4 linked regions of the Pelodiscus sinensis genome follow. The protein of the gene in region 1 interacts with the protein of each later gene in a pairwise test. Links are inferred from orthologs where the notes say so. Each region holds a gene or a part of one and is shown in the gene's direction. Other genes may lie near its edges.

Evidence for each region.
Region 2: the proteins of QRICH1 (region 1) and HSPB8 interact in binary tests that used the Homo sapiens proteins (3 or more experiments, as listed by UniProt). The two-hybrid records come from large-scale screens. The link is inferred for Pelodiscus sinensis from reciprocal best matches to the Homo sapiens genes QRICH1 and HSPB8.
Region 3: the proteins of QRICH1 (region 1) and RBM17 interact in binary tests that used the Homo sapiens proteins (3 or more experiments, as listed by UniProt). The two-hybrid records come from large-scale screens. The link is inferred for Pelodiscus sinensis from reciprocal best matches to the Homo sapiens genes QRICH1 and RBM17.
Region 4: the proteins of QRICH1 (region 1) and NFIX interact in binary tests that used the Homo sapiens proteins (3 or more experiments, as listed by UniProt). The two-hybrid records come from large-scale screens. The link is inferred for Pelodiscus sinensis from reciprocal best matches to the Homo sapiens genes QRICH1 and NFIX.

What each region holds. Positions count from the first base shown.
Region 1 is NC_134721.1:6,969-13,914, forward strand, and holds the start of QRICH1 (transcriptional regulator QRICH1), read left to right. Parts: upstream 1-3,928; 5' UTR 3,929-4,053; exon of another isoform or gene 4,054-4,132; intron 4,133-5,628; exon of another isoform or gene 5,629-5,689; intron 5,690-6,946. UniProt on the Homo sapiens protein: Transcriptional regulator that acts as a mediator of the integrated stress response (ISR) through transcriptional control of protein homeostasis under conditions of ER stress.
Region 2 is NC_134725.1:10,137,241-10,144,606, reverse strand, and holds the start of HSPB8 (heat shock protein beta-8), read left to right. Parts: upstream 1-4,364; 5' UTR 4,365-4,901; coding exon 4,902-5,289; intron 5,290-7,366. UniProt on the Homo sapiens protein: Involved in the chaperone-assisted selective autophagy (CASA), a crucial process for protein quality control, particularly in mechanical strained cells and tissues such as muscle. Displays temperature-dependent chaperone activity.
Region 3 is NC_134711.1:8,475,605-8,483,235, forward strand, and holds the start of RBM17 (splicing factor 45), read left to right. Parts: upstream 1-4,620; 5' UTR 4,621-4,707; coding exon 4,708-4,826; exon of another isoform or gene 4,827-4,892; intron 4,893-7,631. UniProt on the Homo sapiens protein: Splice factor that binds to the single-stranded 3'AG at the exon/intron border and promotes its utilization in the second catalytic step. Involved in the regulation of alternative splicing and the utilization of cryptic splice sites.
Region 4 is NC_134729.1:12,880,119-12,887,129, reverse strand, and holds the start of NFIX (nuclear factor 1 X-type), read left to right. Parts: upstream 1-4,002; 5' UTR 4,003-4,053; coding exon 4,054-4,113; intron 4,114-4,291; exon of another isoform or gene 4,292-4,614; coding exon of another isoform or gene 4,615-4,644; intron 4,645-6,733; exon of another isoform or gene 6,734-6,889; coding exon of another isoform or gene 6,890-6,892; intron 6,893-7,011.

The sequences.
Region 1 (6,946 bases):
GGGGACGGAGCGGCTGCGTGGGCCCGGGGGGGGGACAGTGGTGGGGGACGGAGCGGCTGCGTGGGCCCGGGGGGGACAGTGGGGGGGACGGAACGGCTGCGTGGGCCCGGGGGGGACAGTGGGGGGGACGGAACGGCTGCGTGGGCCCGGGGGGGACAGTGGGGGGGGACGGAGCGGCTGCGTGGGCCCGGGGGGGACAGTGGTGGGGGACGGAGCGGCTGCGTGGGCCCGGGGGGGACAGTGGTGGGGGGACGGAGCGGCTGCGTGGGCCCGGGGGGTACAGTGGTGGGGGGACGGAGCGGCTGCGTGGGCCCGGGGGGGTCAGTGGTAGGGGGACGGAGCGGCTGCGTGGGCCCGGGGGGGACAGTGGTGGGGGGACGGAGCGCCTGCGTGGGCCCGGGGGGGACAGTGGGGGGGGACGGAGCGGCTGCGTGGGCCCGGGGGGGACAGTGGTGGGGGGACGGAGCGGCTGCGTGGGCCCGGGGGGGTCAGTGGTAGGGGGACGGAGCGGCTGCGTGGGCCCGGGGGGGACAGTGGTGGGGGGACGGAGCGGCTGCGTGGGCCCGGGGGGGACAGTGGTGGGGGGACGGAGCGCCTGCGTGGGCCCGGGGGGGACAGTGGGGGGGGACGGAGCGGCTGCGTGGGCCCGGGGGGGACAGTGGTGGGGGGACGGAGCGGCTGCGTGGGCCCGGGGGGGTCAGTGGTAGGGGGACGGAGCGGCTGCGTGGGCCCGGGGGGGTCAGTGGTAGGGGGACGGAGCGGCTGCGTGGGCCCGGGGGGGTCAGTGGTAGGGGGACGGAGCGGCTGCGTGGGCCCGGGGGGGACAGTGGTGGGGGGACGGAGCGGCTGCGTGGGCCCGGGGGGGACAGTGGTGGGGGGACGGAGCGGCTGCGTGGGCCCGGGGGCAGCTCACCGCCACCACGGAGTCACCTCCCGGTTTCCCAGGCACATTGGCTCCATGGCTCTCGCTGCCCAGCTGCTGCCAGTGGGCCCTGGCGGGGCCTGTGGGGAGTGAATGGGCACAGGGCGGGGAGGGTTGGGGCTCCCGCCTGGAACTTCCACCAGTCCTGGAGTGGCCGCTGGCTGTGGCAGCCTCCGGTGGGTCGGGCAGACGCCTGCCCCTTCGTTGCCTTCCGCCAGCAACAGTCCAGCCCCCGCTTTCAGCTCGCCCAGCCAGCGACCCTGTGCTGGCGAGGAGGGGTGGGGGCTGGTTTCCCGCCCAGGCGAGGGCTGCCACGTCGTGCAGCGCGCAGTGGGGGTTGGGGCGCTGCCAGGTACTCTCCTCGCTGTGGAGAGTGTGGCCGACAGCTCTGCCGGAGGGAGGGCTGCCCGGGAGAATCCGTTTAGCGGCTTGTGTGCCTGGATCAGGAGACCCTGGGCTGGCGCAGGGCCCGTACAGCTCCATTCGCCAAGCCAATGCACACGGACCCAGACTGGCCCTCGTGGCCTGCTGGGGCCACGCCTGTCCTGAGTGCGCAGCAAAGGGTTGGCAGGAGACCACAGAGCAGGTGCCCAGCAAGGGCCAGCGGGAGCCCTGGTGTAAGTCCATGGTGCTGAAGGAATCACTTTTCTCTTAACCCCTGGGCTGCCGTGTCTCCCCCACTGGCCCTGTGTTGGATGTGGCTGTGTGTTCAGTGGGGTAACAAACAACTCCGCCCCCTCTCCCCGCCTGGCTGCCCTGTAGCTTGGGGGGGACACTTGGACCAATCAAATCCCTCTGTGTAATTAGCCTTCCCCCAAGCGGTCCACACGCCCCAGCTCACATGTGGCACTATGGAAGGTGAGGCCTGGCCTGCTGGAGGCAGCCTGCTGCCCCCGGGGACTGGGGACTGCTCCTAGAGCCAGGGGGCAAAGGGAGAACATGGGAGTTGCCGGGCACGGCCAGGTGATGCATGTCGCCCACGTGGGGCCCAGCTGAGCAGACAGAGGGGGTCAGCCCTGAGAGGGGCCCACCTTAGGGACAAGCCCCTGGCAGTGCCTGGGTGTGCTGCTCCCGCTCTGGCAAAGAGCTCAGCAGTGCGAGCCGAGGGCAGGCCAGTCACTGCCCAGCCACCCCCGAGTGACACGCCCAGTGTTTGCTTTTGGAAGGGCCTAGCGTCTCTCCGGGTCGCGCCCTCCCGCCCAGGCTCCTGGCTTTGCGCCGTCAGGGGGGTGTTGGATTGACGGCGAGCGTGAAATCCATGATCCTGCGGCTCAGATGGGCTCGGCAGCTCTCCAAGCCTTGCCACTATCCTGGCTGCTTCTGCTGGAGCTGGGGCTGCAGCATCCAAGCCCCATCGGCCTTATGTCTGCAGCTCCTGGTCTGACTCCCTGCGCCTGAGTGCAGCCAGAGCTGCTGTGTCTCTCATGTGCGACCCAGTAATCTCCTGCCTCTGTCCTCTTCCGGGGCCTTGCCTGGCCAGCCCCCTTCCTGCCCCGCTTCCCTTGGCAGCTACTCTCGTGGCTGCCAGAATTCTCGCTGGGCACTTGCGAGGGCTCCCCGAGGAGCCCTGTGTGGCCTCGCTGGAGAGCTCCAGCCTGGAGTGCCTGGCGGCAGGCCGGCCCACGGGCTCTTGGCGGTTCTGGGGGGTGCAGGCCGGCCCACGGGCTCTCGGGGGTTCTGGGGGGCGCGGGGGCTCTGGGGGGTGCAGGCCGGCCCGTGGGCTCTGGGGGGCGTAGGCTGGCCCACGGGCTCTGGGGGACTCCAGGGGGCTGGGGGGCTCCGGGGGGCACAGGGGATCTGGGGGGCACAGGCCGGCACGCGGGCTCTGGGGGGCGTGGGGGCTCTGGGGGGGCGCGGGGGCTCCGGGGGGCACAGGCCGGCACGTGGGCTCTGCGGGGCTCCGGGGGGGCGCGGGGGCTCTGGGGGGCGCGGGGGCTCTGGGGGGGCGCGGGGGCTCTGAGGGGCACAGGGGCTCTGGGGGGGCACAGGGGCTCCGGGGGGCGCAGGGGCTCTGAGGGGCACAGGGGCTCTGGGGGGGCGCGGGGGCTCTGAGGGGCACGGGGGCTCTGGGGGGGCGCGGGGGCTCTGAGGGGCGCGGGGGCTCTGGGGGGGCACAGGGGCTCCGGGGGGCACAGGGGCTCTGGGGGGGCGCGGGGGCTCTGAGGGGCACGGGGGCTCTGGGGGGGCGCGGGGGCTCTGAGGGGCACAGGGGCTCTGGGGGGGCGCGGGGGCTCTGGGGGGGCACAGGGGCTCCGGGGGGGCGTGGGGGCTCTGAGGGGCACGGGGGTTCTGGGGGGGGCGCGGGGGCTCTGAGGGGCACGGGGGCTCTGGGGGGGCGCGGGGGCTCCGAGGGGCACAGGGGCTCTGGGGGGGCGTGGGGGCTCTGGGGGGCGCGGGGGCTCCGGGGGGCACAGGCCGGCCCGCGGGCTCTGGGGGGGCACAGGGGCTCTGGGGGGCACAGGCCGGCCCGCGGGCTCTGGGGGGCACAGGGGCTCCGGGGGGGGCGCGGGGGCTCTGGGGGGCACAGGCTGGCCCGCGGGCTCTGGGGGGCACAGGGGCTCCGGGGGGGGCGCGGGGGCTCTGGGGGGCACAGGGGATCTGTGGGGCACAGGCTGGCCCGCGGGCTCTGGGGGGCACAGGGGCTCCGGGGGGCACAGGGGATCTGTGGGGCACAGGCTGGCCCGCGGGCTCTGGGGGGCACAGGGGCTCCGGGGGGCACAGGGGATCTGTGGGGCACAGGCTGGCCCGCGGGCTCTGGGGGGCGCGGGGGCTCCGGGGGGCGCGGGGGCTCCGGGGGGCACAGGCCGGCGCGCGCCGGGGGCTGCGGGTTTGCGATGCCCCGGGGGGTTCCAGCACGCCGGGAGCCTGGCGCCAGTGGCCATGGGGGCGGGGCCGGGGGCGGCCAGGGTGGCTGTGCAGCGCCGGGCCCTGGGCCGGCCGGGGGGCGGGGCTCTAGGACAGGCTGGGCCCCGGGGGCGGGGCCTCCTGTGGACTCTGGGCCGGCCAAGGGGCGGGGCTGCGCACGGCGCCTTTAAGGCGCGGGGCGGCTCCGGCGCGGAGCTCTCGCGGGGCTTGGCGGCCGCGCTCTCGCGAGGCCGGGGCCGAGCGCTGATTGGCTGCGGGGGTTGAATGTAAGATGGCGCCCAGGGAGCTGTGAGGGGAAGGAGTCGGGCCGAGGCGGTGGCGGAGCGAGGCGGCGGCGGGGCCAGGGTGAGGCGGGGCGGGCCCGGCCGAGCGGCGGCGGAGCGGGCTGGGCCGGGCGGCGGCGGGCTGGGCCGGGCGGGGCCTCCCCTTCCAGGGGGGAGGCGGCGGCGGCGGTTCCGGGGGCGGCGCGCTCCCGCGGGTTCCGGCGCGGGCCCGTTTGTTGTGTGGCGTTGCCGGGAGCGCGCAGCGGAGCGAGACGGCGCGTGCCCGCGCCAGGCCTGTTCCTCTCCCGCGCGAGGTGGGGCGCGCCCCCGTGTCCCTTCCCCCCGCCGCGGGGCGGCACCTTCCTGTGCGCGGCTGCTGCCGGCCACGCGCGCGGGCCCGCGCGCTCCCGGCGTGGGGCGGGGGCGCGCTCGCCTCCCTGGGGCTGCCCCCCCGGGCCTGTAGGGCGGCGGGCCCCTCCCCCGCCCCGCGGGCTCGCCCTGTCCCCGGCGCGGGCGGGTGCCGCTCTGCCGGGCTGCCCGTGCGCGAGAAGGCCGCGGCCGAGGCGGGTCCGGCCCGCGGGCCGGGCGCTTCGCTCGGGCTTTGGCCGGGAGCCGGGCAGCAGCGCGGCGGCCCCGCAGTCGCTCCGGCCTCTCGGAAGCCTCCCGCCGCGCTGCGGGCCACCCCTGCGCCACCGCAGCCTGGCGGCGCCCGGCCCGGGAGTCTCCCCGTGGGGACACAGCGGGGGTCGAGGCCGCTCACGTGCAGCGAGAGCTCTTCGGGACCCCCTCCCCGCCCCGCTTCCTAAGCCGCCTCGTGTCCGCGGAGACCTGCGCGCGGTCACCGGAAAGCCTCTCCGCACGCACCTGGCTTGTCAGGCTCCGGTGGTCTCAAAGTTTCACTGGCTTGCACGAAGCCGTGCTCGGTTTTGCAGAGGGGTGCGTGGCTCAGGGAAGGGCTAATCAAGTCTGTTCAGTTGTGTGAGAGCTGCAGGAAGAAAAAGAGATATTTGTGCCGACAATCGGAGGCCTTAAAACGTCTTGGAACGGCTGAGCGCGGAGCTTGGTCTTCTCTCCGTTTAACACAGTGCCTTCGTGTGTGCTGGTTTCTTCCCCCTTTTTGAGTTTTTTGTTGAGTCCTCCAAGAGCCTTATTTGGACTCTTGGTCCCCAGCTCTGCATAGTTACTCTGCTCCACCTTAAATGCTTGTGAGGAGAAAGGAGCAAGAAAAGAACTCTAATATTTTTTCCATTGATGTCTTGTTCTAAGTTTCAATAACTCCAGTGCCTGTTATATGTACTGGAACTTGTATAACTTTTGTCACAGAAGAACATTTTGCACTGCGCAAAAAGATGTACATGGAGAACTGTCTGTCTTCATACATATTCTTAAGATCTGGAAGTTGAAAAAAATGGTTAGGAATTGGGCATGTCTGGTAATGTCTGTCTAATTGTTAAGGGTGTAATATTACTACGACTCTATTCATCTTGTGTGTTTTATTAAGTCTCTTTTAAAAATAACATTTAACTAAAACCAAAACCCCTGGGGATAGAAAGAGCTTCTTTGTTCTGTCTTCTCCAGAATGTTACCAGTCTAAGAGCTCAAGACAAGTGCAGCAGAAATACCTGCAACATGGTGACTGGTGAGTCCAGATAGCCCACCTGCTGCAAATGTGTGTGTACATTTTCAGTATCTTGAGTCTCTAGGTTTTATGAATTAACCACATGTGCTCATTAGGTTGGACTACTTTTCGGACCCTATTTAGTGGAAAAAGCAATTAAGCTGAGAAGGCAGGAATTATATCCATGTATCCAAGCAGCAAACTTTGCAGAACAGTGTAAAGAAAGATGCATTCTGCCAAGTTTTAGCAGCAATGAGTATTTGCCTCATTTTTAAATGAGCTGTACATAATGGATAAACTGAGTGCATAAACAGATCCAGTCTGATATTTTAATAGATAATGGTAAAGATGCCTGCCTGCCAATATAAACTTGTGTACATTCTACTAGAAAATGTGTTTTACCGTCGAATGCAATACTAACTTTGCATTCAAAGTATATTGAGTGTGGGCTTGGAAATCTTTAGAGGTTTTTATTTTAAAAAATAAAAATCTATGTTCGTGCTGAGTAGTAAACATGCCTGAGTGAGGTTGTGGACGAGAGGGTGTTGTAGCTCTTACTTTCTGCAATTTGTTTTTAAACTTATGCTCATTACAAAGGAAAAAGAAGACTTTAGAACATGTTTCTGTAACAAGCACTAATACTTCCACTGTTGCTCATATTTTTCCCAAGCAGCAGAATAATGAAACTAGAGCTGATCAGTTTAACGACTGCAGTTCCATATTTCTCTGTAGGTAGCCTTGAGTTGGGTTAGATTAAACAGCAGTTGAGTTAACTATATACATTAAAAAAAAATCACTTTCTCATTTAAAAAACTGGGGAGACTCTAAGACTGGGACACTTGCGATTTCAGTCTGCCTCTTCTCCAGTTTCCCAGAACATTGAGAGAGAAAAGCAGACACTCCTCTGCTCTTCAGTGTAGGACCATCCTCATTCTGGTTGTACAGTGCCTAACATCAGCGTCCTGGTCCCTGACTAAAGCTCCTATGCATTACAGAAATCCGTGTATTGGCTCCTATGCTCCAGTGATCAATGCAGTGTAGAAACTTAGAACAGTTGTTTGGGGGACTGGGAGGGAGGGAAAAAGGAAAGTTTCCTTCCAGCAAACTGAGAGAACTAAGAGTGAGCTTCTGATTTCACCTGACTGCTAGTCACAAGCTGACTGAGATCAAGGGACAGTCAGATGGGATCCCAGCACTTGTTCTACTTCCCAGGTGTTGGAACTGGCAGAATGAAGCTTGGTTCTCAAGCCCCTAGACTTCAGTGGGTGGTGGGTGGGT
Region 2 (7,366 bases), on another chromosome or scaffold:
TGCTGGCTCCAGCTATAGGACGAGCACCTCCGACCTGGCTGAGTTTCTCCTGGAGCAGAGAAGAGCCAAGGTGATTTTTCAAAGCCTGAAGTTGATTTGTGCCCAGCCCATCCAACAGGAGCATTTGCCCCCCAATGCCTAGTGGTGAGGACACCGTCATCCAAATGCCTGCCCTTCCGAAACAGCACCACTTTCCCTTCGCCACTGTCATTGCTGCCAGTTAACTGTCACCCAGATCCCTCTCGCAAGGTGACATCCCAATTCCTGATTCGATAGGTGTTTAAACCAAGGCCTAACTTCAGTGACTGGGTCCGAAGGGAACTCCTTGCATGTCTGCAGAGTGCTCCTGTGCTTGAAAGATACGTAACAATAGTCATTAGTGTTAAAAGATTGGGAGGGGTGTGGGATGGAAACCAGGACCTAACCATTGCTTGGCAAGGGGCCTGAGTCTGACACCCTTCCTCCCTTAACCAGCCCCTTCCTGCCTCGGCAATTCCACTGGTTGCCAAAGGACACCTCAAGGCCTAGGAGGCTTTTCTTGTCCCTTGGTCTCTGTTGTGACAGAGGGGGTTGCTGTGTTGCTCATGAGCAGAGTTGTTGACTCGAGTCCCACGACTTGAACTTGATTCCGATTTAAGTCATCTAGGTGACTCGACTTGAGACTTGACTCGGGCTCATTGTTTGTGACTTGACACTCGACTTGAGACTTGCTAATTTTGTTAAATCGACTTGGTGAAAAAATTGTCCGAAAATGCCAATATTGATGGCTTGTACAAAAGTGACTTGACATTTTTTAAATTAAGACTTGAGACTTGACTTGGGACTTGACTCGAAAGTGACGTTAGGGGCTCGAGACTCAACTTGAGACTTGAACTGTAGTGACTTGAGACTCGACTTGGACTTGACAACAATGACTTGAAGACAACACTGCTCATGAGTGGCTAAAGAGACGGCTGTGCACCTGGCAGGCCTTGTCACTTGAAGTGCCTAAGGCCAAGGAAAGGATTGCAGTCTGCGTCTGCTCTTTACAACTCAGCCACTGTGGTCCCCGGCAGGTAACCTCACCCGGGGAATCCCATTGCTCACCATGGCTTCCCAAAGTGCGCTGTCAAGTACAGACCAGGCCTGGCTGACAGCGTCAATGTCACGATAGTTTAAGCTGCACTTCTGTGCATTAGCCCTATGGCCTTGGGTCCCTAGGTGGAAGGGAGGCGACACTTTTGAATGATGGGAGAGGCCCCCAACAGGCAAGGGGCTGAGGACAGAGGCAGTGGTGTATTCCTCTTGGAAACAAAGCAGTTGAACCATAACAGGCAGTCAGGCCTTGTGACTTCATTCTGCTGCAGGATCTAGCTTGTGCCCAGTGCCCTCTCAAAACTCCTCTGGAAACGCTCTATCGGCTGATTTCAGTGCAAAGAACTTAATTCTTGCTCTAGAGGCGATCGAGTGACAAGGCCAGAAGCTGCACAATGCTGAGCTGGCACCACCGGGAAGTGTCTGCCTAGGTTGCCAAATGTCCGGTATTCACCCGAACAGTCTGGTATTTTCACCTCCTGTCCATTAAAAAAATTCAGAAAATACTGGACACCTAAAATGTCCGGTATTTTTGTGGGGTTTTTTCCCTGCCAGGAGGCGAAAATACTGGACACCTGGCAACCCTACAACACACTCAGCAACTGGTCCCAGTCCCCTGACCTCTTGCCAGGCCCCCTCAGAAACTCCCCCGCTTACCTGGTTCTGCAGGGGCTTGTCTTATGGCTGGAACAGAAAAACAAAATGGCCACTGGCAAAAAAAAGCCTCTTCTTAAAGGGGCCATGCTGATTTTTAATTTTTAATGTTTAATTTTTTTTTTTGCTCAACAAGTTTGGCCTCCCCCTTCTTTTTTCTCAACAGAATTTTTTTTCCATTGGGTTTTGTGTGTGTGTGTGTTCGGTATTTTTGGTTAAACCATCTGGCAACCCTATGTCTTCCTGGCTCCTAGCCCCCTGCTCCTTCCACACTTTCACACCTTCACAAGTCCCGCACCCTGGGATTAGTCTGAGGCTGAGGTAACGTTTGGAGGGAGGCCTCAGAGCCGAACCATCACCACCTCGCCACTGTCAGGTACGGCTGCTAATCAGTGAGTCGGGGCAGAGGATGAGGGAGGGAAGAGGTATAGTAATGGGCTGAAATGAAGCAGAACACTGAGGCAAGGATATCAGGCTAGGTGGCTGTCACGCACTGAATAGCCTCTGGAATGGTCTTCCCGGGAAGCAGCCTGTTCTAAATTAGAGGATGTAGGGCAGGTGGAGGTACAGCATTGGCAGGGGAGTGCACTGGGTAACCTAATAGGCCTTGTTTAGCCTCAATTCTTCAGGAAGGAGCGCTCTGCCATTTTGTAACTACAGGCTAATTCTGGGTGAGCTGGGCATTCCTCTAGAGGCCTGGGAGACGCACCATCTCTGGAGGACTGCAAGGCAGCGCTGCTCTGGCGTGGAGCCTGCCAAGGCACCAGTGAAGTCATTCTGTCTTATTGTGAGCCAGTGATCTCACCTGGTTCCGCACAAGCACGTAGACGTCCTCTGCCCCCACTGCCCAACAGCGGCGATCCCAGGGCCACGATAAAGCCCAGTGGTCCATTTCTGAAAGGAAGGGCCTTAAAAGCCAGCCCTTGGTATCTCCATGGGGACAACGGGCTTTTCGGGACGCATGAGGGGTGGGGGGGGATGGCACTAGGGAAATAAAATTCAGCTGCCAAAGGGCAAGGAGGGGTAGGGAATGATTTCCCTACCTCTCCCATTGCCTCTGTGGGGCTATCCCCGCCCCAGAGGGCAGCACTGCACAGTGTGTTGTTTTGACTCAGCGCGCGCGCACACACACGCACACACACACACACACACACACACACACACACACACACACACACACACACACACACACACACACACAGCGCTACTGACAGCCCCAGCTGGAGCTTTGGCAAGATCTGTGAAGGTCAAAGGCAGCCCAGGCCTGTTTCAACAAATGCGATGGGTCCAAGCCCTGGACGCCACCAAGAGAGTTTCTGTGCACTTCAAAGGGAGCTGGGTGAGGCCCAGAGAAAAGCCTGGCCAGCCTTCAAAGCAGCGAGAAAGAGGAGGAGCGAGCGACGTGGGCTGGTCATTATTCCCTACGCCCCGTGGGGATGGAGGCGTGCGTCTGCTTGGCTTGGCCTGCTGCATACTGAAATTATAGACCCGTAGCGACTGGCACGAGCGTCAGAGCTGCAGCGGGGGATGCGAAAAGCACCTCCCCCCAGGTCTGTCAATGTTCAGCAGCTGGGGTGAGCGTGACCCCAAGCCCCCCGACACCTGCTGCGCTGCCTGGGAGAGCAGTGTCTACGGCAGCCCCGTGCTGGCACTGGGAACCTCCCTGCACGTGGCCAGGCAGTGCAGGGGGGCAGCGGAGCCTGGCCCAGCCCTGAGTGGGTTTAGACAGCACCCAGCCATCCACCGTGCTCCACGAGCCTGGGTGCAAAACCTCCCCACAGCACTGATGTGGGATGCAGTTTCCCCTCCTGCTCTGGCATTGCCTGCTGCAGCCCTGTGGGGAGGCTGGGGGCCACAAGGAGAGGGGAAATGCTGGTCTGCCCCACAGCTTCTTGCTTTGGGAACGTCAACGGGAAAGACCAGCCACCCTGGTCAAACCCTCCCCAGCCAGTGGTGCTCCATATGGTGGGCAACCTGCCCCCCCCACACACACACACACTTGCCTGCTGCTTAGGGTGCCATGGGCAAAGCAGGGTCCAATCTAGCTCACAACTGGGAACTGGCCTTCTAAGCCTGACAGCAGTAAGTCCTAGGTGTCACTGCCAGGGCCGAGTCAGCCTGCTGCTCTGGCGCACCAGGACCGTCTGTAAAACCCCACTCCATCCTCGTGCAGAACCACAGATCATCATGCAACCCCGTAGAGGCACAGAGCACACGGGAATGACTCACGCTCCCTGCCTGGCTCACTCCGGCCCTGCTCCCGGTGTCCTTACAGTGTTGGGCGCACCACGGCTCTGCTAAAATTTAGGGCCAGTGGGTATTTTAACATGGTGACAGGAGAGAGCTGTAGCCTGCCCTGAAGCTATTAGCAACATGTTGGCTGCAGTGTAGCAGCCTCAGGCTAAGGAGGCAGGCAGGGAGGGAGCAGAGCAGAGGGAGTGGCAGGTGAGGAAAGCTACCTAAACTTGGCTGCCCCACGTAAGTGTTCCCGGCCCAGTGGGAGAGGTCAGCTGTCGCAACAGATTCTCCAAGGGTGTTTCATCTTCTCCAAAATACCCAGCTGACACGGCCAGAATTGCAAAGCACAACCTCCCCCTCCCACTCTCCCCAAGCTCCATATAAATAGAAGGCTCCCAGCTGGCTGGAATGTTAGAGAAGTTTCTGGACTTGGAGAACACACATTTATTTAAGCTCCTGCCAGGGATCTGAAGATAAAGAAGCAGGAAGAAAGAAGAAACAAGGCTCTCGAGTTTGGAAGTTTCTCATTCCCACAAAGAGATTTTCATCTGGGTTTTTTTTCCCCCCTCTCCTCCTCTTTCTCTTGTGTGGGATTTAAAACAAACAGGAAACTTTGTTCTCTCCTCTCACTGCTTTCTGCATTTTTAAATCTTTGAATGATTCAGCTCTAATTTTTTTTTTTAAATTTTGTTGTTTTGGAGGGCAGGAGGATTCTGGTATAAACTGCCTGTCAGAATCAAGGCACAGCAGTTCCTCTCTCCTTGGTTTGGGGGAGTGGACAAATCTTTCTTGGGAAATTCTTCCACTGAAGCTTGGCACTCAGGAACAGAAAAGCAAACACAGACATTTCCTGGGGCAGCTGGTGCACCAGAAGCTGGATAAGGTCGGAAGAATTTTATCCTCTCTTGCTGTTGCATTTACCATAGAATAAAATCATGGCTGATGGCCAGATGCCCTTTTCCTGCCATTACCCCACCAGGCACCGAAGTGTCCGAGACCGCTTCAGAGAGCCCGGCTTGTCCTCTCGACTCCTGGATGATGACTTTGGCATGTGCCCTTTCTCTGGGGACCTGACTGCAGACTTGCTGGACTGGGCTCGCCCGCGACTGACCAGTACATGGCCTGGTCCACTGCGGTCAGGAATGGCCCGAGCCTCCCCTGGCATGTCCCCTCCTGGGTACAGCTCCAGGTTCGGCAGTTACCCTGAAGATCGGAGTCCTGCTCCCTTCTCTGGGGAGCCCTGGAAGGTGTGTGTCAACGTGCAGAGCTTTAAACCTGAGGAGCTGACGGTGAAAACCAAGGATGGCTTTGTGGAAGTGTCAGGTGAGCGAGGGGCCAGTGGAAAAGGAAGGGAAGCGCAGAAAAGAGGAACACAGGGGAATGGAAATAAAACTAGGTCCTTAAAAATGGAGTTGTTGCTAGTGGGAGACAGCATTCAGGGCCTAGAGCAGGGCCACTCAACACGCAGCCTGTTTGTTTGCACTCCACAGTGCAGTTTGGTTTTACACGGGGCTCAAAATGCAGCCAGTGGAGTCAATAGAATGGTCTTCTGTTGATACTCGTTTTAGGAGTTAAATTCCTGGTGCTGTCATGAGGGTGGAAATCAGGTAATTATTGCATTTTATTAATATCAGCAGAACTGACTTAAATGGGGCCTGTGTGTTGTGTAGTCTTGCCCTAATCTTTGAATTTGTGCCCGTCAGTGTGAAAGAACTTAAAAAACAACAAATAGTCTGGTAGCACTTTAAAGACTAACGAAACACGTAGATGTTTTGTTAGTCTATAAAGTGCTACCAGACCATTTGTTGTTTTTTAAGTTTATCCTGTGCAGACTCGGCTCCCCCCCCCCCCCAAAAGTGTGAAAGAAGCTATTTGCATATATTTGAGTATATATTTGTATATATATGCAACTACACTTAAGTTTTGGGTGTGAGTATCACTGTGTCAGTAGGCCCAAGCCTGCTTGCTGTGAGGGTTTGCAGGGTTGGGCTCCTTGCTCATTCTTTTAATTACGGATCATTTCAGAGTTTATGCTACCCTGGGGTGCAGGAGGGGAGGCTAAGTGGGAGGGGAATTCCTTTAAAGGGACAAAGTCTAATTACAGTCCTTGGGCATTCACCAGTCAGGAATGCCCCTCCTCTACAGTCCCCAAACAGTTGCAAGTCTTAAAGGGGCAGGACAACTAGACCAAAAGAAAAGCAGGAGGCAGGGGGGCTGGGAAAGAGATGAGTGCAAAGAGTTAAGTGGAAGTTTTAAAATAAGGCAGGATTAACAACCCAGGAGAAAAAGCACATACATTGTGCAATGGAGTCAGGGAAGGGTGATGGAAACCGAACATAAAATTGGAAAACAAAGGGAGAGGTTAACAGAGTAGAAACAACAAAAGAAATAACCTGGGGGGAGGGGGAACCCTTTCTTTACGTTGTGTCTAATCATTAATTCATTTAGCAGCCCCAGCAATAACACTGATGACAGAGCCAATTCGCTGGTGCCGAATGAAGAGGCCATAAGCTCGTCCATAAAAATTCTATTGTGATTTCCCCTGCAATTAATGCAGCATTAAAAATAACGTGTTACCAGGAAAACAAAGTGGGCAGAGGGGGAAAAAATCCCTGATGAGATTCTCTTTCCACAGCCCTGCTAAGCAAGCGCCAGGGGGAAGGAAGCGACTTATCCAGTAGGCACAGTGCCTAGGGCCCACGATACTTTTAGGGGCCCATGAAAATGTTTTAATGTCTTTTAAAATCAGAAGGAAAAAAATGAACTTTTAGGGTCGAAGAAAATGTTTTAGTTTTTTTCTCACATCAGAAAAAATTGAAACTTTTAGGGCCCACGAAAATCTATTACATTTTGCCTCAAACAGAAAAAAAATGTTGAAGTATTTAAAGTTATATCAAAAATAATTTTTAATATATATTTTTTTTATGGAGGAAGGAGCCCACGAAGGCAAAAGTGCCTAGGGCCCATGAAAGTCATAATGCGGCTCTGGGTCTGAACAGCTGAAAAGTAAAAGAACCATGGCTGCCTCTTCAGCTGCTTTAAACCAGTTTCACTCCCTTGACTTGAAAAGAACCGTGCTGGTTTACTCCAGCTAAGGAGCTGATTCAGAGACAAGAGCAGTAAGTGCTCTGACCACCTGCCCATCCCCCAGGAAGGAAGGAAGAGGGTTATACTAGGGATAGGAGAGAATTACATAAAGGCCGCTCCTGGGAGGGGAAGGGTGGAGGGGGGGAGTCCATCGAGATGTGCTTTCAGCCTGAAATGTCAGGAGGGAGACTGGTACTACAGCAAAACAATGGGAAAACGTTGGGAGTGCAATGACCCATCAGACCAGAGTGGGTAAAGTGTTAAGCCAATCCTATGCTGATGGAGGGAGAATATGGATTATTCATGGATCTCA
Region 3 (7,631 bases), on another chromosome or scaffold:
CTGTCCCTTGAGGGATGTTAAATTTCGATTAATTGGCTAATCGAATAGTCGATGGAATTTCCATTGACTACTTGATTAGTCAATAAGGGGGGCACTTGCTATCCTGCTGCACCTCTGCCTTTGAAATGTACAAGAGCCACTGCAGGCTCTTGTACATTTCAAAGGATGAGGCGCAGCAGTCGGGACCCCAGGTGAGTGGAGACTGCTTCAGGCCCTGCTCACACCATTTCCACCACTGCGCCTCTGCCTCCCCGCCCTCCCCCCCTCCATCCCCGCAGAGACGGTGCTGGGGGGAACCAGCTTGTAAGTCTATAAATTCGTAACTGGTAGGGAAAAAGTGAATAAGGCAAAGTTATTTACTTGTACCCACAATATAAGAATTAGGGGTCACCATATGACATTAATAAGTAGCAGGTTTAAAACAAACAAAAGGAAGTTTTTCTTCACTCAGCGCACGGTTGGCCTGTGGAACTCCTTGCCAGAGGAGGTTGTGAAGACCAGGACTTTAACAGGGTCCAAGAAAGAACTAGATAAATTCATGGAGGTTAGGTCCATCAATGGATATTAGCCAGGATGGATAGGAATGGTGTCCCTAGCCTCTGTCAGAGGCTGGGAATGGTTACAGGAGAGGGATTACTTGAAGATTCCCTGTTCTGTTCACTCCCTCTGGGGCATCAGGCATTGGCCAGTTTCGGCAGACAGGATACTGAGCTAGATGGACCTTTGGTCTGACTCAGTATGGCCGGTCTTATGTTCTTATGTAATACCCCAATGTAATTTGATACTGTTTCATATAACACATACCTGAGACATGCTCCAGTGCTCATCTGAGTTACTGGGAAGTTTCCAGTTGAGTTCAGTGGGTTTTGGATTAGGCCCAAAATAAGACCACGTGGCAAAGTTACAGAACCATGTCGGAGTAAGGCCAAAACCTACTCTATATAGTTTGAAATAGTGTAACAGGTGTTCCTATGTGTGCTTGTGTTGAAAAATAGATTGAAGAACTTACTAGATGCTGTTTAAAAGAAAACCTGCTGATAGCACAAACAAGGATGGGTTCATGTATTCTATATTGTGAAGACAGGGGTAGATTAACCAGTGGAATAATGGGGCCTGTGCCCAGTTGCCTTGGTCAGTTGGAGGACCCCTGGAAAAATGGGCACCCACCCACCCACCTGGCGTTCCTGCTGGGGAACAGGGTTGAGGTACAGGGGCTTCCAAGTACAGGTGGAAGACGCCCCCACTTGTTCTGATCCATGACCCCACAATCCACCCCTGTACAAAGATATTCTGGGCATAGTTTCTCTCCCTCAGTACTCAAAGAATTCTTCTCAAATGAGTTTGAAGAAGCTACGACATTTAGTATGTCTTCATTTTTCAAGCATCCCTAAGATGAGTTGGGGGATATTATATTACAATAAAATATTATTTTAAAAAACCCAAGAGAAAACAAGGAACAGAATTTATTTTGTTTTTATTCATTCCAGTGACTTAAAAATATGGTTTTGTTCCCTTTTCAAAGACTGAAGCTATTTTCCTCTCATTAGCTGGCCTGAGAAGTCAAAGCTGGAGGCAGGGGCAGATGACTGTTTTGCGGGGCCCCGGGCAGCATAATTCCGCGGGGCCCCCCCTTTGCCACAGCGCATGCGCGGGGCTTTCTGAAGCGCGGGGCCTGGGGCGGCTGCCCCGTTCGCCCTGCCCTATATCCATCCCTGGCTGGAGGCAGACATTGTACATCTTTTTTGGACACCTTTTTCATCCCAGGGAGTTTTTGAGATAATATTGTGCAAGGTATATTTGTGATCCCAATGAGTTTTGCACCACGCATTTATTAAACTGGGTGGAAGCTTGTAACGAATCCACCTTTAGCAAGCACCACCACACCAGTGCAAGACAAATCACACATACCAGTTCAGCTGAACAAGGCTCAAGGTCTTCTCCAAAAACACAGACCTGTCTATTCAAGGACATCTCCCCTTGCTAGCTGTAAAAGTAAGGCCCTTGTCCTTCCTGTGGGCCAGCCACTAACAGATGACATAACACCCATGTGCTTTACATGCACAAAAAGCTTGATTCCCCCCACACTGCTGGTGCAGAATATTGCACAAGGTGAAAAAGGAAGAGTAGGATAAGGAGCACAGGGAATCACTTCTGTATCATTGTGTTGCTGCTGAGATCACCAAGCTACTCCTGCCTCCCAGATCTGCAAACTGAAACCCAGGGCATCTGCCATGGGGCGTAACTAAGGGTGTAGTTTGGTCAGTCTCAAGGAAGTCTGCATCAGAGGGTGAAATGCAGTTTTTCCTTCACAGCACGGCAGCCTCCTCCTGCCCCGCCACTTTTGCTAGTATTCCAATGGATTAGCTATGTGTGTGGGAGAGGGATGGCTCTAGGAATTGATTGCAGAGCACTGGGGGCTTGGAAATGGAGACAGCAGCAAGATTCCCACACATGAGAATCCTAGTGGAAGGGCCCCAGAGTTGCTAGCTTAGCTGCTCAGTGGCTCTTTTAGGTAGCCAGTTTGCCAGTGGGTAGATACAAAAATCAGGATCAAACAACCAACAGGGCCTGGAAAAAAAGGGATGTTTGCAGTACAGGCGACTCTCATATTTACAACCTAATTGGTTCCTGGCGAACCATCGTAAGTTGAGCTGTTGTAAGTCGAACCCTTATTTCCCAGAGGCACAATGATATAAATGGGGGGGGGGGTCCGTTCCTGGCCCGCTTTGCCTCCTGGGAGTTGTAGTCCCCAGCACGCCAGGCCCAGAGACAGCCAGGGGTTGTGCCAAGTGGAGGTGGCTCCACGTGTCCCAGAGCCAGTGCCAAGGACTATGTTGGGTGGAGGCAGCACGGTGCGAGCTGCTCCTAGAGCCAGCTGGGGGCTATGCTGTGTGGAGACAGCACTGTGCAAGCTTGCAAGCTGCTCCCAGAGCTGTCCGGGTGGAGGCGGCTTCACGTGTCCTGGAGCCAGTGGCGTGGTGTGAGTTGTGCCCAGTGCCCGTCAGGGCTGTGGGCAACTGGCTGACTCTGTGGCTCACTGTGCAGGAGCAGGGCTGGAGCAGGGCAGTCGTCTATGCGAGGTGTCCTGAGTCGGGAGGTCGTACATTAGGGGTCACCTGTATTGTCCATTTCAAGGGATCAAAAATCATGGTCTGTCCAGGGCTCAGCAGCACTTCCCCAGGCCCCCACTCAAGCTACATCTACACTGCAACGCTATTTTGGGATAGCGGAGTATCCCAAAATAGCTATTCCGCATCTTCACAGAAAGCCTGGTATGTTCATAGGCTCACTATTCTGACGTTCCTATAAACCTCTTTCTACCAGGAGTAAGGGACGTTTCGGAATCATGCTGTATTCTGAAATAGCATGGAAATAAGATATGCATTTTGCGTAGCTCAAATTGCGTATCTTATTTTGAGTTACGGTGCCATGTAGATACAACCTCACCGCCCTAAGCCTGGGCAGCACTTCCCTGACACTCCTTGTCTTCTGCTGCCCTGGAGGAGCTTCTTGTGTCACTGTGAAAGCAGGTTCCAGGATTTTTGAACCAGTCATATCCTAGGACCTGGAGTCACGCTGGCAAGGCCTGTATGACAATGGGTGAGGCACAGTCCTGGGCTACGCGTAAACTGGCATGATTTTCCGCAAATGCTTTTAACGGAAAAGTTTTCCATTAAAAGCATTTGCGGAAAAGCGCGTCTAGATTGCAACGGACACTTTTCCAAAAAAGCACTTTTTGCGGAAAAGCGTCCGTGCCAATCTAGACGCACTTTTCTGCAAAAAAGCCCCGATCGCCATTTTCACGATGAGGGCTTTTTTGCGCAAAACAAATCTGAGCTGTCTACACTGCCCTTTTGCGCAAAAGCTTTGTGCAAAAGCACTTTTGCCCGAACGGGAGCAGCATAGTATTTTTGCAAGAAGCACTGATTTCAGACAGTAGGAAGTCAGTGTTCTTGCGGAAATTCAAGTGGCCAGTGTAGACAGCTTTTTGCGGAAAAACTTGCCAGTCTAGACACAGCCCTGGGTTACGTCTTCATTGGCACCCTTTTCCGGAAAAGGGATGCTAATGAGACACTCCGGAATTGCAAATTCTGCAGGGATTTAAATATCCCCCGTGGCATTTGCATGAACATGGCTGCTGCTTTTTTCCAGCTCGGGGTTTTGCCGGAGAAAAGCACCAGTCTAGACGCGATAGTGTGGAAAATAAACCCTTTTCCAGAAGATCCCTTATTCCTACTTGAAAGGATGCCAACGTAGACAGCCCTGGTGTTTAATATGTTGAAGGTTTGGGAAGCCTCTTTGTAATTAAACTCCTAGTCACAACTGTACTGTTAATTACTCTGAGCCTATGGTTCCTCTTCTCTCTCCCGCTCATAGATCTTCTCCTGCAGGAACATGATTAGAGAGACAAACTGGGGGACTTAATATCTTTATTGGGACCAACTTCTGGGGGTTTCCCTTCTGCAGGGCAAGCTCAGGGAGCTGACGCTAGGGGTCAGCAGCGGGCCGGTGCCTGTGGCGGCGCTCTCTATGGTCTTGCTACGTCATTGGTGGAACACCGCCCCTGACGTACGACGCTTGCGCAGGACAGCGCTTCGGGTCGCTCCTCCCCGTTTCCCGCGCTGCTTCTGCGGAGCTCTCGCGGCGCTGCGTAGCCGGCAGCTTTCACGTTACGGAGTTTGCGTAGCTCCCCCCTCCCCTCCCCCAATGACCTGTGGTGCGGCGTTTACGCAGTTTGCGTACAAGGTTCGCGCAGCGGAGGAGTTCGGCGGCGCCGGGCGCCACACGGCCGTTCCCTGCCTCTTCAGCGGCGGCTCGCTGGCGGGGTGAGCGGGGCCCGGCGCCCACCGCGGACCAAGCGCCAGGCCGCGGCCGGAGGCCCCAAGCCGGGGGTGGGGGCAGGGCCTGAACTTGACTGGCGGGAACCCTGGGGGCTGGGCCAGCTCGTGGGGGGAGGGGAGCGGAGGTGGGGGGGCAGCCGGGGGGGAGGGGAAGCAGCTCTCGGGGGGGGAGCTGGGGGGGAGCGGAGGTGGGGGGGCAGCCGGGGGGGAGGGGAAGCAGCTCTCGGGGGGGAGCCGGGGGGGGGAGCGGAGTTGGGGGGGCAGCCGGGGGGGAGGGGAAGCAGCTCTCGGGGGGGGGAGCTGGGGGGGAGTGGAGGTGGGGGGGCAGCCGGGGGGGAGGGGAAGCAGCTCTCGGGGGGGAGCCGGGGGGGGGGAGCGGAGTTGGGGGGGCAGCCAGGGGGGAGGGGAAGCAGCTTTCGGGGGGAGCAGCTCGCAGGGGGAGGGGAGCCGGGGGGGAGCGGAGATGGGGGGGCAGCCGGGGGGGAGGGGAAGCAGCTCTCGGGGGGGGGGAGCCGGGGGGGAGCAATGGGGAGGCTGGGCCAGCTCGTGGAGGGGGGGGTTCATGGGGGACTGGGCCAGTTTGGGGGGGGGGGGTTATAGGGTGGCAGGGCCAACTTGTGTGCTGCTGGGGGTAGGATGGGAGGTTCATGGGGGCAGGGCCAGTTTAGGGGCTGCTGGGGATGTGGTGCGAGGCTCATGGGGTCGGGACCATCCTCAGGGCTGCTTGGGATTGATGGCGGGTGAGGGGGGATGACATGGGATACTTCGGGGTTATGGGGTAGTTTAGGAGGGTTGTGGGGTGGCTCCACTCGTGGGTTGTTGGGTAAATGAGGAGGGTTATGGGGGACTGGGCTTTTGATTGTGGGGAGGCACTGGGCCCTGGCAGCTGGGGGATGGGTAGGCTACTTATGAAGCTTAGAAGGGATCCGGGGATGTCAGGCTTGAAGGGCTGCTCTGCCAGCCACTTCCAGGGCCAGGCCTGTTCTGGGGATACTGGGGATGGCTGGATCTATTCAGGTGGGGTGCTTGGCTGCTGTTCTGGCAGTGACAGCTTGTGGTCCAGGGCTGCAGGAGTGGAACTGAATGCCATTGTCACTGTGGATTCAAGCCACAGACTAGGGCAGTGGCACCCAATCTTTTCGAGGACCCAGACCACTTTTCAATCTATTAAAAATTTACGGACCCCTCCCCCCCCCCCAAACAATATATCTGTGCCTGCATGTCCTTCAGCCCATGCTCCTTCCTGAGTGGCGTCCCTGAGCCCACTGGGGAAGCTGTGTGGGTTGTAGGACGTACTGTCTGTGAGGAGTTCCATGCAGACCCCTTACAGTATCGCTGTGAACCCCCCGGGGTCTGCAGACCACAGGTTGGGAACCACTGGGTTAGGGTATTGATTCAGCTCTGTATAATTCATGCACCTTAATGCAAAGCCTTCAGTGACCAAGGCCTTGTGAGCTTTGTTCAGATACTAGTGCCTGTGTCCCTCATCAGAACTGGAATTTGTCACTCTTGCTGTCCCACCACTCGTGTTCTCACTACTGGTGTTACGTGTTGCAGAGCCCGTAGGCAAGGGTCATCGCTGGTTCTGTTTACACATGGACTAATGATCCTGATGGTGGCTTTTGGGGGCTACTGCAGTATAATCAACAATGAGGGGTTCCAGTGGCATCTTAAAGCCTAACGTCTATTTGGGTATAAGCTTTTGTGGGCAAGGGCATATAGGAAGTTATTTATGCCCAAATAAACTGTTAGTCTTTAAGGTGCCACAGGCCTCATTTTGTTTTTGCAGATATAGGCTAATAGCTACCCTTCTGATACTTGCAGTACAATGAGTAACACTAGCCTCAGTGGACAAAACTTCCTTCTATTTTTATGTAGTATTCCCTACTAGGGATGTTAAGGACTAGTTGACTGTCCAATAAGCAAATGCTTTTTGGATAGTTAGTCAACTCATTGATTTCCCCCTCTTCCTGCCTCTATCAGATAGCTGAGGCGGCGTTCAAAGGGGCAGTGCTGCATAGCTGAGCCCAGGATCGGCTGTGCGCTGTATTGTGTGAAGCCTGGGATCAGCTGGGGACTCCCCAGCTGATCCCGGGTTCTCAGGAAATGCTGTGTGGAACCTGCAGTCAGCTAGGGAGTCCCCAGCTGCATGGCATTTCAAATTGGTAGTACAGCATGGAGCCCGGGGTCAGACTCCAGGCTCCATGCTGCACTGCCAATTTGAAAGGCACAAGAGCCCCCCACTGGGGACTCTTGTACATTTCAAAGCTGGCATAGCCTGGAGTCAGCGTGACTTCCCGCTGTCTCCAGGCTGCATGAGGATTTCCGCATTCCTCCTTTGAAATGTAGAAGAGCCCCAGCGGGGGCTCTTGTACATTTCAGAGGAGGAATGCAGAAGTGCCTATCGACAATTCCATCAACTATTCGACTAGTCAATTAATCGTTACTTAACATCCTTATTCTCTACCCCAGTTGACCTGCCTCTGAAATCAGTTTTGTATGTGTAGTGAAATTTGGTACATCATCTTTGATTTACTGTATAACGTCTAGTTTATATATTTCAAAGGGCTTGCTACTTCTAGTGAGCTGTGTAACAATATCACCATGGCTAAGAGTCCCAGTCTGTTTGATCAGATTGCTAGGAGCAATTGATCAGAATTAACATGAAGCTAAGTATGTTGGGTGATAGTCCTGACTATAAATCAATGAAGTTAATATGTTTTTGCTCACATTCTTACTTTGGAGGAGTGATACTATGATCACAATGGTGGTAAGGCTCATCCATGGCAC
Region 4 (7,011 bases), on another chromosome or scaffold:
TGGGGGGCGTTGGAATATTTGCCTCCTGCTGGGTATTTTTATCAGAAAACATAATCTGACGGCAAGCTGGCAGTGGCTAGAAAGGAAGGCCCTTTGGTGTAAATCCGTCGGGTTTGGCTGGGGTTACGCCGGCGGCTTTGCCTCCTTGCATCAGTGGGTGGGAGACGTCTACCTCCCGGGTTTTCCTGAGCGCAGCACAAAGAACCAGCAAAATGCTGTTGTGTTTCCCCAAAGACCCCCCCTTCTCAAAGGTGCTGGCCTGGCTCTCGCCACCTGCGCCCCCCAAGGAGAGATTTGGGGGAGATGTTTCCTTCCAGCGCCATGCCTCGTGGTGGCTGTGAGCTTCCACTCGCCAAGCGGGTTCCTTTGCTTCGTTTTTACATAAATAAGAAACGTGTTTTGTGGTGAGAAGTCGCGATGGCGCAGGCGGCATTTTCCCGTCAGCGGTGCCCCCCACCCCCGAATGGGGGAGTGAATTTGGGAGCTTGTGGAGACAAAGGGTGGACAGAGCCCTAGAGAACCCGCTGCTGTGCCAGCTCCGCCAGGGTCCCTCAGTCCTGACCTCCGGGCCCCACGCCCCCGTCCCAGTCCTTCCAATCCTGAGCCCCACTTTGCCAGCTTGGCCAGTGCTCCCCAAGCTTGGCCCGCAGCCGGCTTACTGCTTTGATGCTGGACGCCCTCCTCCGCCCTGGCACGCCCATGACTCTTCCCTTCTGGGCACAACAGAACCCGCTGATCACCCAGCACTGGGGTCCCTCTCCACCCCCTCGGCGCCTTTCATTGACTGGGGCCGGAGGAGGGGTCAGGCAGACTCCTTCTCGCTGGTCGCTAGCACAGGGCTTCCCGCGGCCTGCGACAGTCACCCAGGGCTTCCTGCAGCCGCTCCCTGCTCAGAGCCGCCTGTCCTGTGGGCTGCAGCGAGAGCCAGAGCCCCCAACAGGCGGCTTAGCTGGGGGCACTTTGCTGCAGTTCTTGCCTCTGTGAGGTCAGAGAGGCGAAGGCAGGTTTCCATAGCAGCCTTTGCAGGTGCCAGGGGAAACTTCTTCGGCGCCTTTATCCGGTTGCTGGCAGGGCCCAAGTGGCGATGATGCTCCGGGGAATTGGGTCCCAGGCCACGGAAACCTCCGATTTCCCTTCTGCCTGGTGGTTCCCTCAGCTCCCCGGGAGCGATTCCTGCTGGCCGCAGGCTCGCTGGGAGCAGCCAGACGTGTGCGTGCCCCTGGGCGGGTTTGAGACCCCCCGCCCCGAGCGGCCGCGTACGGAGCCCTGTCACTTGTCAGCTTGCTGCCTGCGGGGCCCGATCCTGCGGTGCCGTGCGTTTGGGCTGGGCGTGGGACGCAGAGCCGGGGCCAGCGGGTGGCGAGCCAAACTCTGCCTCCGTCCGAAATCCGGTGGGTTGGTTTTGCAAAACTCGGGTGCAGCGCCATTTCCAGAACTCTGGCTTCTTCCCTACGTTTGCCGCCCCGCGCTTGGCTGGGCGTTCAAATCCTTTACTGTTCTGTTAAAGTTTAGAGCAAACGGGGCAGTGGGACCCGCCGCTCTTTCCCCTCCACTTTGGCGGTTGCTTTTCGCTGTTGCCAACAGTTGCACAGAGGAAAAAAAAACCATTCAGTCCCCTGCAAATCAGCCCTTTCCTTTGATGCTATATTTGCCGATCTCCCTGCACAAATCTATCCTGTGCCGCTACTTTATTTCCCCTTCTACAGCTCTCGGCGTTGTTTGTGTTCTCTGCTCAGACAGGAAAAAATATTTGAATGCAGGCTCCTTTTTTTTGCAAATAGAAAACTGAAAGAGCTAGTGAACCATGATTCAAGTGTCTGAGGGGAGCCTCTTTCTTTCTTAGCATTAATTAACTCAAGTTCGTTAGGACATTGAGTCTGCTGCACAGTTTTCTCTTGTGCGGACTAAATCGGGTCAGAGAGGGAAAATCGTAGCAAGCAAACACTTTGTGTCGGAGCAGAAGAATGCCGAGAGAAAACAGAGCGATATCATGATTGCACGGCTGCATATTTGCATGCGTGGGGTTTCCTAGAGATATATTTGTGCGGGGGGGGGGTCCGTATCGGGAGGATAGAAATGCCCCTGCCGCCTCGTCCTAGACTCTGGCTTTTGACTAGCGCCGGGGAAGCGGAGGGTCAGAGCAGGCGGGGAGAGAAAGAAAGATGCTGTCCCCGCAGCCTGTGCCAGCCGAGCTCGGGGAGGGCCGGTTTTGCACTAAGCTGGCGGCTGACTGAGCAGGAAAAAGATTTGTTCGCTTTTAAGCTGGGGAGGCCACGGCCTCTGGGTGCACGCAGGGCGGGGAGACCAAGGCACAAAGATTCCAGCCCGGAGCCCCCGGAAGGCGGTCGAAGAGACTGTCCGTGCCCCTTCCCCGGCCGGCCGGGGCAGGTGTTGTGCGCTGCAGACGGGAGAGGAAGAACGCCACGTTCCTCGGCCAAACCCCCGTGCGCCTGCAAAACTTTGGCCCCGATTTCTTCTCTCCCTGTCGCAACAGGCGCAAGCCCCGGGCGGGTGCCGGCGACAGTTATGTGCTATTCATTCCCTAGGGCAAGAGTTTGCCAGGGTGCCAGGGCCTGTTCCTATGGCAACGCCGGGAAAGCTTGACACGCCGCTGCTGGAAACGAGAGCCCCCAAATGAAAAGCGTGGGGGGGGGGGAGATAAGATCAGGAGTCGGAAAGTTTGACTTGGAGTTAGGAAAGCTCCTCAACTGTCCCTCAGGCCTCGGAGCGGATTGAAAAACATCCCACCGAGTGAACGGATTCCAGGTTCGGCAGGTGCGCGATGGGCTCCGCTGGGGGTGCAGCCCCCACCCCAGTGTGTCTGCATGTCAGGGGCCCGGCCTGCGGGGGCATGGCCAGCCAGACGGGCACAGGCACCCGGCCAGGTCTGGGTGCGCAGTCGGGTGATTTTCCCTGCGTTTCTCTTTCCTCCCTGCCCGCCTCGGCCTCCTCCCCAGGCCTTCTCTTCCCCCCGAAATCCCGCCCGGGCCTTCCTCCTTTCCAGTCGCTTCGGCTCTGTTGCTTTGCCGTCCCGGCGAGGGGCACGTCTGATCCACCGCCCCCTGCGGCTCTCGCTGCCGGGCGCTGGTGCACAGAACCCAGCGCCCCGGCCCGCCGCTCGAGAGCCCTGCCTGGCCATGGTGTACTGCCCCCTCGTGGGTGCCCCCCCACCCTCGTGGGAAGACGGTGTCCCTCGGGCCCAGCTCAGCCGTGGGCCGGGGATGGGACTGTGCTCAGACAGGTGCGTTGGTATCTCTGCCGCCGGGCTCCCGTGCGGCCGGAGGATGGGCAGAGCCCACAGGGAGAGCAGCCGCCGCCGCGCATTCGCCTGCCCGGCTCCTGCCGCATGGAGCCGGCCTGTTCCCGGCGCGTGGCGGCTTGGTGCTCTCCCGGACTCACTCGAAGGGGGGCCCTGGCCAGCCCTGTGGGTGCCAGCCCTGCCCGCCTGGGCCCAGTCCCACCGTTGCTCGAGCAGGCGGCGATTTGCAGCAAGCCCACCTGAGCACCCTCCGAAAACCCGCTTTAACCCTGTTCCCCATTTGCTTTTCCCTCTCTCCTCCCTCCCCGCGGTGGCCTTGCCCTCCACGCGCTTCCGCTGCCTTTCCCCTTGCCTGGGTGTTCGCCTTCCCCCTGCGGCCCCCCCTTCTGACTTTGTAGTTCCAGCGCGCTCCCCCCAGCTGTTTCGTTTCCATTTGATGGTCCCCCCAAAACCCCCCGTGTGCCGGCGCCCTGCCCTCCTCCGGGGTGCCCGCTACCCGCTGCCCGTCTGCGTGTGGTTTGGATCGGAACGGTCGTTGTTTCCTTATGGGAACCATCCCGGGGGCGGGGAAGGATCCCCCCACAAGCAAATCCCTCGCCGAAAGTGAAAGTTCAGCCTTCGGGTCTAAACCCTGGAGACTCGAACTCCGAATCGTCCCTTCTGGGAGCGAATCCTCCCTCCCTCGTCTTCCCCCTTCCTCTTTCACTTTCACTTTTTTCTTCTCTCTCTCTCTCCGCTCTCCCTTTTCTTTGCAACTTCCCCCCCCACCCCCTGGACTCGGCTTTCGTGCCTTCATGGCACCAGTCCAAATTCCCTCCCCCGCCTCGCGGATGGAGGAGAGCAGGCAGGCACAGGTATTTTGTCTCCCCTAACAAAGCGGGGGGGGGGTGGTGCGGGGGGGGACCAGTCACCTTTGTGTGGCTCCCCGTGGGGCGTGCCCCCCGGACGGGGCTGGCCACAGGTATAAATGCAGGCAGGCCCGAACGGCCCCGAGCAGCGGAGGGCAGTGGGGAACCGTGGCTTCCTCGTGCGCGGTGTGCAAGGGGCGGATCGGAGCCTGGGGACAGCACAGCCCTGCTCGCCTGGGCTGTGGCTAGGTTTGGGATTGGGGGCGGGGGGGAGCCGGGGAAATGACAGCCGTCGCCCCCCACCTCGGCCCTCCCCCACCATCCCCGCTCGCGCTTCCTTGGCAGCCTGCTCGGGAGCTGGAGAGCTGGCAGCAGGGCCTGGGCCTGCCTGCGGGCGTCGGGGATAGAGCCGCGGCAGGCTAGCCGGTGGGCCGGGCCCGCGCTCCCGATCGCCGCAGCTCGGCCAGGCCAGCCGGCACCTGGGCGCAGGGCTCCCGGCGGGTAGGGATGCTGCGGTACTACGGCGACGGCGGGCGCGTAAGTGCCTGGATGGGCAGATTGGGGGCATGGCTGGGGGGTCGGGACCAGTCCTCCCGCTTTGGGTAAAAGCTGCCATTTCAGTCCCCCTTGCCTCGGCTCTGCGCCCCTGGAAAGCCGGGATTTCTCAGCCGCGGGCTGCCGGGGGTACAGCCAGAAATGCCTGCAAGTCAGGGCCGCTTTCTCCCCTGGCGTTCTCTCCTCTCTCCTTCCCCCTTCTCCTTCTCTCCTCCACTTCCTCCGTCTTCCTGTTTCCTTTCTCTTTTCAGTCCCTTCTCGGGCCGCGGGTTTCCCCCTTCCCTTCCCTCCCTCCCACCCCCTTTTCTTTCTCTCCTTCCTCCTCTCTCATCCCCTTTTTCTCGCCTTTCCTGGCTCCCCTTCCTCCCTTTCTCTCCCACTTTCTCCTGCTTTCGCTGTCGGGTTTTCTACTCGATGCAGCTGAGCGTGCGGCACGGACAATAGCCGAAAAATAAATAGTCATGCTTTGCACAGAGGCAGTGTCGGGAGGGCTCGCCTGGAGAAGGGGACTTTAAAAGTATCCTAACTTCGCACCCCTTTGTCCGTCCCCCAAAATAAGATTTTTTTTTTTGGCTTCCTAGGATATTTTAAAAAAAGTCAATCGGCCCCTTTAGCGACCGGGTCTGTGTGCTAACATTGGCAAGCCGCGTTGCCACCCATTCTAGCGCTTACCCGCGGGGATCAGGGGGAGGCGGGAAGTCAGTCGGCATCTCTTTTTTTAAAACATTTTTGTTTGGAAAAAAGAATCACCCAAGTTGGCAGGGACAGGCCAGGCCGGGAGGCCTGGGGCAAATCCTTGATGACTGTCGAATTGGGCCCTCGGTTAGGAGGCAAAAAAAAAAAAATCTTTGCCGTGATGGTGTTTTTCTGTGCGGTTGGGAATGGGCAGGGTTTGAAACTGACGATTCTGCCGCTTAGAAAAAAGTCTCCGCGGCTTTAATCTGAACCGTGTGTGGGGGGGGGGAGGGGGGAGGTGCAGATTTGGAACGAAATCTTCTGTCCTTTTTTATAAATAGACAGAGAGAGAGAGAATGCGGGAACGAGGGACAGGGAAAGAGAGAACAGCTGCTTTTTCCAAGGCCTTGTGGGACTGCCTGGGTTGGGTTTTTTTTGGTTGTTGGGGTGGGGGTGGGGGTGGGGGGGTGGAGAATGGAGTTTTTTATTTATTTAGCAATTTTGTGCCAGTCTCCCGCACTCCGAACATCCAGCGCCCGAGGAAAAAAAATGAATCGTGGCTGGACTTTGCTTATTCATTAGATATAAACTTGTCGATTTGGCAAATTGTTTTCAGTCTCTTAACTGCACAGTCTCTGTGCCACCGGCCCCCCCCAATCCAACCCCCCCAGTTTCTGCTCCGCCAACCCTCCCCCCCGCCTCCCTTTCGCTTTGATGCAGCCATTGGCTGGTCTGGAAATGTGTCTGCTTGCCAAATACGTGAATCCTTCCTCTCTCTTTCGCTGGCATTGGCACAGGCGAATGGTTGGGGACCGAGCATGAAAGGAGCGAGCGAGCGAGTTTCGGATGGAAAAGGGAAAAGGGGGGTGGAAGGGAGGAAAACAACAACAAAACCCCCCAAAACCAAAACAAAACCCAGCCCCAACGCCTGAGCACTTTGGGTCCTGCCAGCGGCGGAGCACAGTCGGTTCCAGCGCGGCGTCCGCCCCTTCCCCTAGGCCTGCGCTCGCCCTCCGCCCGGGCGGAGGGACCCGCAGCTAACTTGGCATCTTGGCGCCGCTGCCAGCACCGCAAAGCCCTCCCCCCCTTTCTGCCGCTCCTCTCCCTCTCTCTGGGTTTTCTTCCTTCCTTCCTTCCTTCCTCCCTCTGTTTGTCTTTTTTTTTCTGGAGGGGCCGTTTGGGAAATATATTTATTTTGACCTGCCGCGGGGTTTCTCAGTTAGAGTATTGGGGTTCTACAGATCCATCACGCTGTGCCCCACACCTCCAGCTCCAGCCTCCTTCCGCCCCTCCCCTATTTCCATCCTTCCTGCCCCCCATTTTTAAAAAATTCCCTATTCCCTCCACAAGCGAGAACTCCCCCAAGCAAGCACCCCCATTCCTCCCCCCCTTTCTCCTCCCTTTAAAATTTCTACCTTCCCTCCTCCTTGTCCCCTCCTCCCCCTCCGGCTCACAGCCCCCACCTCCTCTTCCCTCCCCCCTCCCCCCGCAACTCGGTTGAGTCCAGAATTTCCGAATCGGGGGCTTAGCTTTGCCGGAATGAGACGGAGCAATGGTAATTATGGTGCTTTTTGTCATATTTCGTTTGGGGGGAGGCAGCTTGAGGAAGAGCAGATCTTCCAAACGAAAACACTCCCCCACCTGCCGGTGAAGAGGTTAACCCGAGACTCAAAG